3 linked regions of the Drosophila melanogaster genome follow. The protein of the gene in region 1 purifies or fractionates together with the protein of each later gene. This does not show direct contact. Each region holds a gene or a part of one and is shown in the gene's direction. Other genes may lie near its edges.

Region 1 (3,541 bases):
GTTATGCCCCGAGTGCGACAATCCGGAGACCAATTTAACTGTGTCGGCCAAAAACCAGACCATTTCGCAGTCTTGCAAGGCATGCGGCTTCCATGGTCTGCTCAAGGTTAACCATAAAGTGAACACATTCATTGTGAAGAACCCCCCGTCATTGAATCCGGCCGCCCAAGGATCATCGCTAACCGAGGGCAAACGCTCGAGGAAACAGAAGCAGAAGAACGATAACGCCGATGGCTCCATGACCAATAACTCTTTGGCCAACAACTCTGGCGGTGAATCAGATGGCGGCAACGGCACAAATCAGGCTAGCCAAACTGAGGCCGAGATTAGCGCAGCTATTCCGGAGAAAACAGCCAAGGATGACGACGATGAGGGATGGAGTGTCGATGTTTCGAAGGTACGTTGTTTAATCCGTATATACTCGCAATTAGCTTAAAGAGCTATTCATATGTATATTACTACTCCACCCCGGTAGGAGGCTATTCGTGCTCGTTTGCAAGATCTGACTGATGGTGCTAAGGGTATGACTATTTCGGATGACTATGATAAAACTGAAAAGGAGCGCATTGATATTTTCTACGAGTTGGTTAAGGACAAGCGGGACAAGAAGCAATTGGATGATGTGCAAACTCACAAGGAGCTGGTGATTGAAGCCGAACGCTTGGATATTATTAACAAGGCTCCATTGGTTCTCGCCGAGCTGCTTTTCACTGAAAACATCATCAAGGACGTGCAGAAGAATCGCCCTTTGCTTCTTCGCTTCACCCTCAATAATCCAAAAGCACAGCGCTATCTAATTGGTGGAGTGGAGCAAACTGTAGAGCTGCATAAGGGTATATTGATGAGCAAGGTTGCTGGAATCTTCAAATTGTTTTATGATCTGGACATACTCGATGAGGCCGTCATACTGGAGTGGGCACAGAAGGTTAGCAAACGACATGTCTCGAAAAATATTGCTGCCGAAATACACGAGAAAGCTATGCCATTCGTTCTCTGGCTGAAGAATGCCGAGGAAGAGTCCTCCGAAAGTGAGGAGGAGGAGGACGATGAATCCGAGGAGGATAACTACGTTTCCAGTGCCGGCCAACGTGGCGGTCAACGGGTCGTCCAACGCGGAATTCCACGCGCTGTTGCAGGCGACGAGGATGACGAGGACGACGTGAACATCGACGATATCTAAAAGGAATCAAAAAGAGAACAGCTACCCTAATCCAACCAGTAATATTTTAAAAGGGGGAAAATCAAGCGAGCAAGCATAATCTACAATTCAAACTGAAATATAAATTAGCGAGTTAAATCAACATGTGGTTTTTTTTATCTTTAGTTCTTAAGAGTGCTAATCGTATTTTGAGTCGTCGCTTTACTACCATTCAATTGTTTGCATAACATTTCCCAAGCCGCTGTAACAATAGAATTACACCAACATATTACAAAATAAAGCAAACAAAAACATTAATAACTACTTTTTTACTTGCCTTTTGGTCAGCTTAAGCTATGACCTTCAAGCAAGTTGATTTTTTTAGCCAACCATTGCGTTCATGTGGGAAAAGGGCATAAAGTTCATGCTGCCGCAAGTGATGTGCTTGTGTGAGAATAGGATATCTAAAGTAAATTCGTATTTTATAGTATATTTTCCTGGTGCATTTGGTATTTTAGTTAGTAGTTCGGCGGCGGTCACATCATACGCATCCCCTATAAATCGAAATAAGTTGAAGTTACATAAATAGGTATTAAATGTTTAAATGCCCAGTCCTAGTATAACTACAGATTTACTTTAGCAGGATCAACATGCTGCGTTCGGCGATGATGTCATCGACCCTGTCCCGGGCTCTCCAAAAGGCGACTCAGACACCGAATGCGTCGATTTCGGCGCTGCCCGCTCTGAATTTGGCCCTGGTGCGCCAACAACAAACGCTTCCAGTTGCCGAAGTGGCCCAAAATCTGCCCAAGAAGGGCTACTCTCCGTTCGGCACCAAACAGTCCTCCGTTGCGGAGTGGTCACTGGCCAGACTGGACGATCTGCTCAACTGGGGTCGCAAGGGCTCGATCTGGCCACTGACTTTCGGTTTGGCCTGCTGTGCCGTCGAAATGATGCACATCGCTGCTCCGCGTTACGACATGGATCGATATGGTGTTGTGTTCCGTGCATCTCCACGTCAGGCCGATGTCATCATCGTCGCTGGCACGCTGACCAACAAAATGGCACCGGCCCTGCGAAAGGTCTACGACCAAATGCCCGAGCCACGTTGGGTCATCTCCATGGGCAGCTGTGCCAACGGCGGCGGCTACTACCATTACTCGTACTCCGTCGTCCGTGGCTGCGATAGGATAATCCCCGTCGACATATACGTACCCGGTTGTCCGCCAACCGCCGAGGCGCTCATGTACGGCGTTTTGCAGCTGCAGAAGAAGGTTAAGCGGATGAAGACGCTCCAGATGTGGTATAGGAAGTAAGGCAACGATCGGAACTTATATTTAAAATGTGAAACATCAAACGACATACGATTTTGCGAACAGAAATCATATTAAATATCGTTCTGTTAACGTTCAGTTGTTGTATACATTGTTTGTTGGATCACGAGGATATTGCAAATAAATGCCTTTCGATATAAATACAAACATTCAAGCTGTGCTTCTGTATCCAAACGTCAGCTTGAATCGTACGTGTGTTTGCCAACGGTCGTAATGAAAATCGTGAATTCGAAAAAAGTTTTGTTTCCCTTCAAAATGAGCGTGAAGTTAACGGCTCCTTCCTCTTTTTTTTATCGTGAATTGTATACACAACCATATCATTTAGTTGTCATAGAAACGATCGCACCAACCACAGGACAATCTGCTGTTTTTACTTAATTTTTCTGTATTCATTTCAAGGTCCTGACGTTTTCGGGACACAAAGTGCAAGAATATAAGCTCAGTTTAAAGTGTTTAAAATAGTTATATTTTTTAATTGGCAGATTTTTTTTTAACGCAACTGCAGAGTAAGCAAACCCTTAAAATACAATTATTCATGCTAACGTCCCAATAAACCCAACGAAAAATACAAAAAGAAATAAATATTTGTATAATTTACATATGCAATATAATTTGACTAGCCATTAACTAGTCTTGTGAATTCTGCCCAAGACTAATCTCCCCCATTTCGGTACTGGAAAGGCTTGGCGACAAGGTCGTGGACCTGGAGTTGCAAGCATTCTCATCCAGATTATAGTAATTCACTATTCGCTGTGGTGGTCGGTTGGAGATGACCTCTACGATTTGATTCACAACCCATTTGGTCAATTTGATGACGGCCACGTGTGCCGCAAACTGCAGGATCATGGCTCCAAAGCCCTTGTAGAGGCCACTAACTCCCTCGGAGACAATCGTTGTCTGATAGCAATCGACGACTCCTTGATAGTTTGTTAGAATGGGTACGACATCGTAGCCATTGTCGAGGTTGTCGATTATAGTTCGTGTTCCCTGCAATTGCAGACGGTGTAGAATCGTTTCGAACGGGAAGAACATGACCTCAGTGGTTATGATAGCAATAAGGCTGGCATAG
Region 2 (7,214 bases), on another chromosome or scaffold:
TGTACACTTGTTTTCGAAACCGATTAAAAAAAAAAGAAAAAGTTGGCATATCACGCTAGATTGAATAAAGTAATTGCTCGTATTTATTGGATTTGTATATTTAGCGAATTTTTTTTTTTCAAATTTAATGCTTACTGGTGGTAAACTGTTTAAATAAAGAAAATTAATATGCAACATATCGGTATTGTTATTGATATCGCCGCTAAACCTTTGATTTAACATCACTCGAAATATTTATTGAAGTGAAAACAGAAGCAATCGGCAAGTAAAATGAACAACTTATAACGTGTAATTAAATTTATATATAAATTTCTTTTAGTTTGTATGTTAACTAGCTATTTAATTGCGAATAAGTCCAATGTTCAATTGAATGTCCGTCCGTCCGTCTGACCGTACATATTTTTTTAAAGATATTTGTAAAAAGTTGAGACAAGGCATGCATCCCGACATCTGAGTAACAGGTATCTGGTTATTTTATAGATGCTATGTATAGTTAAACAACTATTTTACAAAAATGAAATTGCTCACAGATTAGTATTGCGAGAAATCTTTTTACTTTCGAGAATTCAATTGCAAAATTTTAAGGTTTTTATGGAATGTTTTTTCACCCCTTTTGTCATAATTATTTGATTACCCTCGAATCCGGACCTTCTCAGATGGCGTAAAGTCCAGATCGTAAATCTGAGCCAAGAGTTGACAGCTCAATTGCCAATTAGACCAATGCAACAGCTCACTCCATTAATTGAAAAAATAAACAAAAAGTGAAGCGTGCAGTAAAATTCGGGACCAATAACATTTGCTTTTTGTTTTGATTTGCCATCATCAGGTTTCAGGTGCATTAATTCTGTTTGCTTGTTTAATTTTTTGCTTCTTTCGGACCATTGCCTGCATACAAATGAAGTTTGGCAACAAACAGCATTTGTTGCCTATTGGTTTTTGCGTAGATTTTAAACTGAATTACAAAAATACTTCCTATACGGGTCCCTGGCCTGTTTTCAAAACAACCAGCAGCTAAAATCTAACAATTTTGACCATTTCGGACACGATGACAAGGTTGCCGATGCCTTTGGAATTTCTAATTCGCAAGGGAACGGTGTTATTTAAAAATTCTATCAATATTGTTATTGTCTATCAGTGGGCCACAGACAACGTGTGCTGCCAATATTTTATTACTTTGTTGCCCATGAGGCGCATTTGAACATTTCGAACGCGCCAAAATCGGACTCCTGATAAGCAGATAGAGATAGTTGTCTACCGACCCTATCGCTATCTCACCCCAGGTGATTAAGTGGTAAGTGGACAGGTCTGACTGATAAGAGCGATTTGGAAAACAATATCGAAAACAACTCGGCTTTCAGTGGGTTAAAATGCCATCACTAGTCGAGGGATTGATTCGATGGGGAATGTTGATGTTGCCACCGGTAAATGTTGCCAAGTGGAAATTAATATTTTTAGGGGGGCTCTCTTATAATATGGGATGTAAATATGACTTATTTAGGTAATACAGCCTTAAAATCATAGGTACATTATAAATATAAGATGTAAGATAAGAGTTAATAAAGATGGAACAACTAGGCGAAAGTAAGTATGCAGATTTTAAGTTATTCCATATTAGTAAGTAGTAGGCTATAAGTTAAATTGCATTGCACTCGGCTAAATTTTCCGTACTAATTGTGTGTTCTATAAAAATCCAGCTTGTATCTTACTGCTTTTTAGCCCATAATCATAAAAGTGAAACCCAATCCACGTTTTTTTTCGCGAATTCACAACCCTGACCACCTGTACATAGTAAGTGATGAAGCACACGATTCAATGAAATATTCCCATTATAATAAACAAAGAAGTGTAAATATTTTAATTACGATTTTATGCACCACCATCTACGTGCAATCTGCACCTATATACATAAGTATATATCTATATATGTACATATGTATGCTTTCCCTGCATCCTCATCGAAAACGTGATCAGTTGGGGTCCGAGAGATTTTTTGATGATTTACAAAAACCCATTAAAATAATACGAAGTTTGATATTAATGCTGATTACTAAAGACCCACTTCAATTACACTTAATGACTCGAAATTACAAAACGACAAATCTAATTGAATTAAATTTATAAACATACAATGCGGTTGCAGTGATAGAAGTAATAAATACAATAATAGCTTTCTATGTAAGAGATTAAAATATAATAATTTTTCTTTTAATATAAATGTAAAATTTTTGGATCTCACGCTACTCTTTAGATTAATAATTTGAGTTGGCTAATATAACCGTGCAACCAAAAATGCATTATTAACTCAATCGCAAACAAATTAGTTTGTTTATTATTTCATAGAGTAATTGTTTATAATATTTTGGAACTGGAAACACGGCCGAGCTGGGTTCTTCAGAACTTGAGCCAAGGCCCGGGATTAATTTCCATTGAATTAGCTAAGGGTGAGAATTTGTTTTTAGCTTAATCTCGATGCGACTGGCAGGTGGATCGTAGACAGATATAACCGTTAATTAGCATTAATTTCGATCGAACTTATTTTTATACACCGCAGAAGTAATACATATTTCGGGCAATATTTTTTCACATCGGTGCCAAGAGGCGCGAGGCGTCTTAATAATCACTTGCTAAATGGATCTACAATCTGCCCGCTAACGAATCAGTCATCTATATACAATCTGCGAGTATCCAAAACTGCGCGCATTAGGGCGTATTTTTCCGATTCCTGGGCCCAGATACAAAGCCGAATTTCGCATACGGCCGAAAAGCCCTTATCAGTCTAGACCCCTAATACTGTGGCTAAGAACTGGAGAATTACCGTCTTTTGGACTCTGATAAGCGAAAAAAGGCCTGCGTTCGCTTTACGTTTTCTAATTATAACCGCGGCAGCGTAAATTGCTTTGGAAAATGTAGCTTTTCCTATTTTATTGTTATTATTATTATTATTATTATTCACACACACGCACGTTAGCGATTTAAAATATTTCGAGGCACACGCGCTAATTTTTTCGGGAGCGAATCATTCAGATCGTTGTTAACTGCAGCGCGGCTCAAACACGAATGATCGCAAAAGACGACGAGAAATATACATATGGCAAAATAAACGGAAAACCCGAAGCACCATGCCGAACTATAAGTACTCTTTTAATTGAAATTCGAAATGTTATAATACTAGTAAAGCTATGTTCTACAAAAACAAGAAGATTTCCTCATTATAATTCTGAGCATTCATAATTGAATTAAAATTAATTTTAATTTTTTCACTAGAACGGATATGTTCCAAGAGTAGTTAATTTATTTATTTATTTACTTTTGAGTTACTCTTCGTAAGGGTATTAAAGGCAAAGAGAGATGGTCGAATAGGAGCAACAACAACACCAATAACCACGGCCGGCAAAACAAACGAAAAGCCCGCAAATTTAAAGGGTGGGGAGCAGAGATAAGGAAGAGAGAGGTAGAAAGCAACAGTGATAGTATTTGTGTGGGCGAAAAAGTGCGTGAGCAGGTTGAAAAAAAATCAGCTGATTGCATGTGAGCTATTAAAGAGAGCGAAATGAGAGCAGAAAAAGGAGAGTGAAATTTATACATATGTTGCTTGTTTATGCCTGTCAAATGTAGGTATGTTTGTATTGTCGTTATCTAGGTAGGTTTATGAGACAACAACAATGCCATAATAAATATTATAAATACATATTTACATATGAAGCTATGGTAATCTCTATAGAATTACATCCTCAATTGTCAAAAGCAGTGATCTGTGCAGATATTTAACTTATCAAACGCACAACTGAAGTCAACAAACAAAAAACAATGTGTTTTATTATAACAATAATATAAACAATGTGTTTTATTATTTATTTTTAGACAGGGTGATTCAATAGAAATATCTGACACGAAATTTACTCTTTATACACAAATACGTACATATATATGTATAAGAACGCGTTTGACACACTGACAAATGTTTATAATTTTTTGTATATCCTGACCCACTGCATGTGTATAATGTAATGTTACAATACCAGAAATATTTTTGTATCGAAGGAGGTTATTCATGACAGTCGCATTCGCCTGAAATCCCATTATCTTAACCAATCTAAAAACAAATTACTAACTTATATACCCTCGGTACTAATTAGTTTACCCAAGCTGTTACATTCAAACCAAATTAGCTAGTGGTCCGCACTTTATAACCGCAAAAATGTGTATCCATTATGAACAGTTTCACCACAAGCTCACTTTTATTTCACTGCTTATCGGTGTTTTTGGTCCGTAGAAATAGTTAATCCTTAGTTGGCCGATTTCGAACAGATAACACTAAGTTTTCCCGATGCTCTCGGTTTTACAGCTCGAAGGCGACTGCTAACTGAATTCTTTGTCCGTAGAACCCAAGCCGTGCCGAATTAAACGATCCGCGGGCTGGAAATTGCAATTAAGCCACGCACATTAGATAAAAAGTTTGCGGTGTGACAAGCAAGGCAGTTACTTTTCAACTGGGACACGGTTAGCTTATGTCTTATTTGCCAACAAATATTTATAAACTAGTGCCAAGCAAGAAGAGTGGTTTATATGACGGTTTAATTACCGCTAAGAGGCTAAGATATCCCCAAGGTTGTCAAAGTAATTATGAGGTAAAATTATTAGTGCCACCTAAATAGTATGAATAATTCGAGATCATAGTAGTTATAACCGTAGTAGCATTTACCGATATTTGATAATCAGATAATTAAAATATGTTTGGTATGCAATGGCCACGAACACGGTCTATTGGTTATGAGGTCAATTATTTACATATTTAGGGTTAACTTTAGGTTAACAGGGCTTTTTAAAAACTATAGAAAAAACTGTTACTTTCCAAATCAAATGTTTTTCTTCAGTCTGGCAGCTTTGTTTGACGGTAGTTTTTGATATCAACCTGTCAATTCTAGTATATTCCAATTGCTACGCCACGGTCACACTGTCGTGGGGCAAAATAAAAAACTGGCCTGTTCCGAAATAAAATAGGATTTTAAGCGTAAATTAACCGAATCGAGTTGGTCCAGTGTGCCGGTGCGAAATGGCCGCCATAGTACTAACCCGTAATCTCCAGCTGGCCAGTGAGTACCGTGCCTGCGGTCGAAAACCGCCAGGCAATCCAATTATGTAATACGATGTTTGTGGCTAACTTTTGGCTCATTCTCTGTCCAATTCCGGATACTTAGAGCACCACGGCAGTGGCGTGGTTGGAGTTTTGTGCCTGCGTGGATATTCCGCCGCTGCTGCGCCGCCGGAAGATGGTCCACGTCCACTGAAGACCACCAATCCGGCTGCCATGAAGCGCGGAACTGGCGGACGTAGCAGTTTCAATGGGATCGTGGCGACCGTTTTCGGTGCCACCGGTTTCGTGGGCCGCTATGTCTGCAACAAACTGGGCAAATCTGGCACCCAGATGATCCTGCCCTATCGCGGTGACGATTCGGATGTTATCCGTCTTAAGGTCACCGGTGATCTTGGCCAGGTACTCTTTCACTTCTACAACCTGGAGGATCCCGCCTCCATTCGTGACGCAGTCAAGCACTCGAACGTGGTCATCAACCTGGTGGGCAGGGACTTCGAGACCAAGAACTTCAAGTTCAAGGATGTCCATGTCAACGGAGCGGAGAGGATCGCTAGGTGAACATCATAGCCAGCATTATTTGCCTGCCCACTTCTTCATTCTAACTTTGCATGACGTAAACCACTTTTATTTCTTCAGGATTGCGCGCGAGGCTGGCGTGGAGCGCTTAATCCACCTGTCCTCTTTGAACGTGGAGGCCAATCCCAAGGATCTGTACGTCAAGGGCGGCAGCGAGTGGCTGAAAAGCAAGTACGAGGGTGAGCTTCGCGTACGCGACGCCTTTCCCAACGCCACGATCATCCGCCCTGCGGATATCTACGGATCCGAGGATCGCTTCTTGCGCTACTACGCCCACATCTGGCGCCGTCAGTTCCGCTCGATGCCGCTGTGGCACAAGGGAGAGAAGACCGTCAAGCAGCCCGTCTACGTTTCGGACGTGGCCCAGGCCATCATCAACGCCGCCAAGGATCCGGACAGCGCTGGCCGCATCTACCAGGCTGTGGGGTAAGTCAATCTCCGAGTCCAAGTATTTGTACCATGTACATTTTCTTAATTTCCTTTATTCTCTGCAGACCTAAACGCTATCAGTTGAGCGAGCTGGTCGACTGGTTCCACCGCCTGATGCGCAAGGACCAGAAGCGCTGGGGCTACATGCGCTACGACATGCGCTGGGACCCCACCTTCCTGCTGAAAGCCAAGCTGAACAGCTTCATCTGCCCCGGCACCCCGATTGGCGGTCTGCATCCCGCTCGCATCGAACGCGAGGCTGTCACCGACAAGGTTCTGACTGGTGTCCCCACGCTTGAGGATTTGGGCGTCACGCTGACCACAATGGAGCAGCAGGTGCCATGGGAGCTGCGTCCCTACCGCGCCGCCCTCTACTACGACGCCGAGCTGGGCGAGTTCGAGACTCCCTCGCCGCCCAAGTGCATCGAGGCGCGCGATGAACTGCGTCTGTTTGCCTAAGCGGAGCGAAGTAGCTGTCTGTGTTGATTGGAAATTTTTAGTTGGAATTGTTTAAGGCGATGCGTCAATAAAGAGAAGTCGAAAGACCCAATGACAACGAAGGAAACTTATATTTCCAAATATTATATAGACATTGATATATGTATTTATTTCGTGCATTTAAATATAAAAAAATTTATAAATACTTTTGAAAAAAAAGTCAAATGGCTAGAAAAGTTTGATGTCGGAAAAAAGATTGGCAGCTCGAAATACCTTTGGTATTTTTCGGTATCTTATTGAGGTGACATCGCTCCGGCAACTAAATCAAAACAAATGAAATCGCTGTCATCGTCTGGCAACGCTTCGCCCGTCCGATTTTTCTTCCTTTGCGACCAGGAGCTTTTCTGCAGCAGTTTCCTCCGAAACTTACGCCCGTGCAGATTTATGGCCGGAAAATCATAGTACGGAAAATTCGATTTCCCAAGTTTTCTGAGTCTGTGTGTGTGTGTGTTTTTGGTGTGTGTAAAGATTTTCAACTTTTCAGCTTGGTTAAGCGGTGAAAAAAGAATATATCAACAACAACACAAGCGCGCGCCCGCCTCTCTTTTCGCGTTTTTGTGCGTGTGAGTGAGAGTGAGTGTGATAATTATGGCATAAGTGGCATACAAATTATGAT
Region 3 (3,377 bases), on another chromosome or scaffold:
TGGGTCTCCTTAACATACTCCTCTGGTGTGAGTTTGGACTCAAGAGTGCGATCCAGACCTTCAGGTAATAAAAATATACTTATAGCATTGAATGGTAAGTAAAAAATAGTACCAACCTTTCCTTGGTCTCAGGTGATAGTTTGTCATGGCGACCACACCCTGTTCTTCTGTCTCGTTAGCCTTTGCATTTGCTTTGTCCTCCGAATCGGCCTCGTCCAACTTCGTTTTTTTAAGGTTTAGACTGAGAGTCTGACTCTGGCAGGACAATTGTTCGCCCAGGAGTGGAAATACTTGCGGTGCCAGTTGGTGGAGTTGGTGTTGAATGCGATGGGCGGCTGCATAGCCTGAGAATTGGTTGAGGGGAGAACTTAAGTATATGTGCTGTGCCTCAGATGAAAAACTCTCCACCACAAAATCCTTGTACACCTGACGAGAAGATATATGATAAGGCGTGAAGTGCACCACAAGCGCCACTTCAGTTAACTTCTCTTCGCCTAACTTTTTAAGCCTTTTGCCGTGTGTAAGCAGTGCTGGTAGATAGTTCTCACTGGGCACATCAAGGAAAACAAAGGACAGTGCAGTTTCACTGGCTTCGGTGACGTCGACTGAACGCACCACCTTTCCATCAGGCAGTGTGATATCGTTGCCATTCTTTAGCTGTCCCAGAAGTGGTCCTGGCGGCACACCTTGCTCCACGCACTTCACCAAGTTTAGGGCGCCAGCTCGCGGTTTCAGCTGACAAATGTAGTTAATTACACTTTTCGTCGGATCTTCCGAATTGATCAGGGGCAGAGAGTCCACCTTCAAGATGGAATCCTCAAAACAGGCGCCCTCAGAACAATCGTTTGGCCGCACCTGGAGATTCTTTAGCACCACGAAACGTCGCATTGACTGCAGCATAGAGCCGAGATGAGGCGGTCCATGGAGTCCAATGTCGCGCACTCCGGCATCTTGGATGGTGAGCGTCAAACCTGGTAACCCTCCGCAGGAAGCCCACGTATTTTGTGTAAGGAAAATTTGTTCCAGGCGTGATAGGCGGGTTTTGTGCTCGTGAGCTAGTCTCTGGGTTCCCTCGCCGCAGTTGAAGAGATAGCGTGCCTGGTCCGTAAACAAATAAACAGCGGCAGGCGCTCCATTGGCGCCAGAGCCCAGAACCTGAAGATTTACTGTTCCCGGCACCACGGAGGCCAGCTTTTTTCTAAGCACATTGGGTTCCCGCTCATAGCGAGGTCCTGTTAAAGGATCCTTGGCCGAGGCAATTGTGGCCGCCATCAAATTACTGGTTGTGAGCGTTCGCAAGGTTCTGTAGATCGGCGACCTGGCTGATTTTACTAAATACATTCGTATTTCGTCAGAGTCTGTAGTCGCGGGCTTCTAATAAACTGAAAAAGCGGGGAATTCGCTGAAATCATTCGCACAAATTTCGTCAGCACCGGCAACGTGTGTCTGCGAACAGCTGTTGCTATTAGTGATGGCACGCTGATGGTTGCGATACATCGAAATGGGACGATAGTAAAAAATAGAAGAAAAGTGCTAAAAGGAATTAAATTTAAGTTAAAATGATTCTTGTCTAGAAAATTGATTATATTTTTCTGTTGTATTTTACAGTTTTGGAATTTCTAGATATGTTTTAATAAATAAGGGCAGTAAATTATTCCAACTTTATATTATTATTAACCATATCAATGAATGTTGAATTAAAAATTAATATGTTAGATTAAGTAAATTCCTATTTGCGTACTTGAAATCGGTCTTAGGCAACACTGAATTTCAGGTATTTAAGCCTCGAACGTGATTGGTCACTCTAATGCCCACGTGCGTTTTGTTTGGCCTCCGCCGGCGGTAAATTCAACCAAATTACCTGAAATTCCAAGGATTCCCCGGTAAACAAGAGATCAGCGACTGCTACACCATGGTCTTCTTCACGTGCAACATCTGCGGCGAGTCGGTAAAGAAACCGGCGGTGGAAAAGCACTACCAGACGCGCTGTCGCGGCAAAGACAAGAACGTGTCCTGCATGGACTGCCTAAAGGACTTCTATGGCGAGGAGTATGTGGCACACATTAAGTGCATCTCAGAGGCCCAGAAGTACGCCAGCCAAAGCCAAGGCTTTGCCGCCAAGGAGCCCCGCAACAAGAACGCTCAAAAGCAAGAGAGTTGGATGGACATCATTCGGTCGATCCTCGACAGCAGCGAGTACAATTTAACTCCAGCCGTTCGATCCGCCTTCCAAAAGCTCCAGAGCGTCGACAACGTGCCCCGCAAGAAGGCTAAGTTCGAAAACTTCGTGGGAAACTGCATGCGCATGCCCCGCAACCAGGCCACCCAGGTGTGGGATATTCTCGAGAAGGAGCTGAACAAGATGAAGGAGGCAAAGCAAGCGGAGCTGGCCAGAGCCAAGGCGGAAAAGATTGCTGAAATACAGCAGAAGCAGAAGGCAGAGGTCGAGGAAGAGGCGCCACCCAAGAAGAAGGCCAAAGTGGAGACCACAGAAGATGCTGCTGCCGAGGAGACCTCCAACGGCGTGACCAGCGACTTTGATTGGGCCGCCCAGCTAACTAAGATCGTTACCAAGCAAGCAGATGGCATTTTCCTGGAAAAACTTCGTAAGAAGCTGCTCAAGAAGTATGCCAAGCATCTGTCCGTCGAGGATTTGAACGAAAAACAGGCGAAGAAGTTTCAGAAACGCTTTGATAAGCAACTTAAGCTCGCCGATTCCTTGGAAGTCGAGGGTGAAATAGTTAAGATCGCTAGCTAGCCGAATATCCCACCTTTAGTCATAGTTTAATTATAACAAAAGGACAATAAACGTGTAAGCTGGAAGTGGTGCCCATGTATTAATCCCACATCTAGGACTTGTACTTTAGATACTGCATACATTGCTTCAAATGATTGCGTGTCTCTTCGCACTGGGCTGTTTGACGGAAGCGCTTGGTGGGACAGTGCAGGATCATCTCGTTGGCCACGCACTCGAGGACCAGTCCGGGATACGGATGACAGCCAAGACGCGAAAGACGTTTGGATAGCTGCTTCACACCTTTGTGCGGCATCAGTGAGAGCGCTGCAAAGGGTAGTTCATTTAGAGATGATTTAATAAACAACTCGCGCAGCTTGCACACCATGCTTGTCGCACTTGACATAGGTGTCATAGAGAAGCTTAATGTCCGCATCGTTGACCAGGTCGCTTTCCAAGTGCTCCTTTACCTCATTGAGATTCAGTGAACGGCGGTCCCTGCCCAAGAAGTTCGTACTGTTGAAACTGCACTCTGCGGTGCACTGATTAAGCAATTAGTTTGGTACTTGTTTACGCTCCTCAACCGAACTCACAAACATGTACGTCTGCTCCTCTTCATCCGTCTCGTATGGAATCTTTTCGT

The links. The genes of interacting proteins can lie anywhere in the genome.
Region 2: the proteins of ND-20 (region 1) and ND-39 purify together in Drosophila melanogaster (affinity purification with mass spectrometry, with the first as the bait; one large-scale study listed by BioGRID). This does not show direct contact.
Region 3: the proteins of ND-20 (region 1) and CG12909 purify together in Drosophila melanogaster (affinity purification with mass spectrometry, with the first as the bait; one large-scale study listed by BioGRID). This does not show direct contact.

The regions. Positions count from the first base shown.
Region 1 is NC_004354.4:15,984,924-15,988,464, reverse strand, and holds ND-20 (NADH dehydrogenase (ubiquinone) 20 kDa subunit), read left to right. Parts: upstream 1-1,656; 5' UTR 1,657-1,727; exon of another isoform or gene 1,728-1,781; 5' UTR 1,782-1,788; coding exon 1,789-2,454; 3' UTR 2,455-2,992; downstream 2,993-3,541. Other genes in the region: eIF5 (eukaryotic translation initiation factor 5), read left to right, coding at 1-397, 476-1,180; Slc25A46a (solute carrier family 25 member 46a), read right to left, coding at 3,100-3,541.
Region 2 is NT_037436.4:20,490,427-20,497,640, forward strand, and holds ND-39 (NADH dehydrogenase (ubiquinone) 39 kDa subunit), read left to right. Parts: upstream 1-1,655; 5' UTR 1,656-1,788; intron 1,789-2,815; exon of another isoform or gene 2,816-3,064; intron 3,065-4,236; exon of another isoform or gene 4,237-4,495; intron 4,496-4,920; exon of another isoform or gene 4,921-4,925; 5' UTR 4,926-5,053; coding exon 5,054-5,093; intron 5,094-5,198; coding exon 5,199-5,649; intron 5,650-5,731; coding exon 5,732-6,097; intron 6,098-6,165; coding exon 6,166-6,559; 3' UTR 6,560-6,658; downstream 6,659-7,214.
Region 3 is NT_033778.4:10,308,323-10,311,699, forward strand, and holds CG12909 (uncharacterized protein), read left to right. Parts: upstream 1-1,790; 5' UTR 1,791-1,912; coding exon 1,913-2,758; 3' UTR 2,759-2,821; downstream 2,822-3,377. Other genes in the region: RNaseZ (ribonuclease Z), read right to left, coding at 1-58, 117-1,341; Obp46a (Odorant-binding protein 46a), read right to left, coding at 2,850-3,061, 3,120-3,276, 3,328-3,377.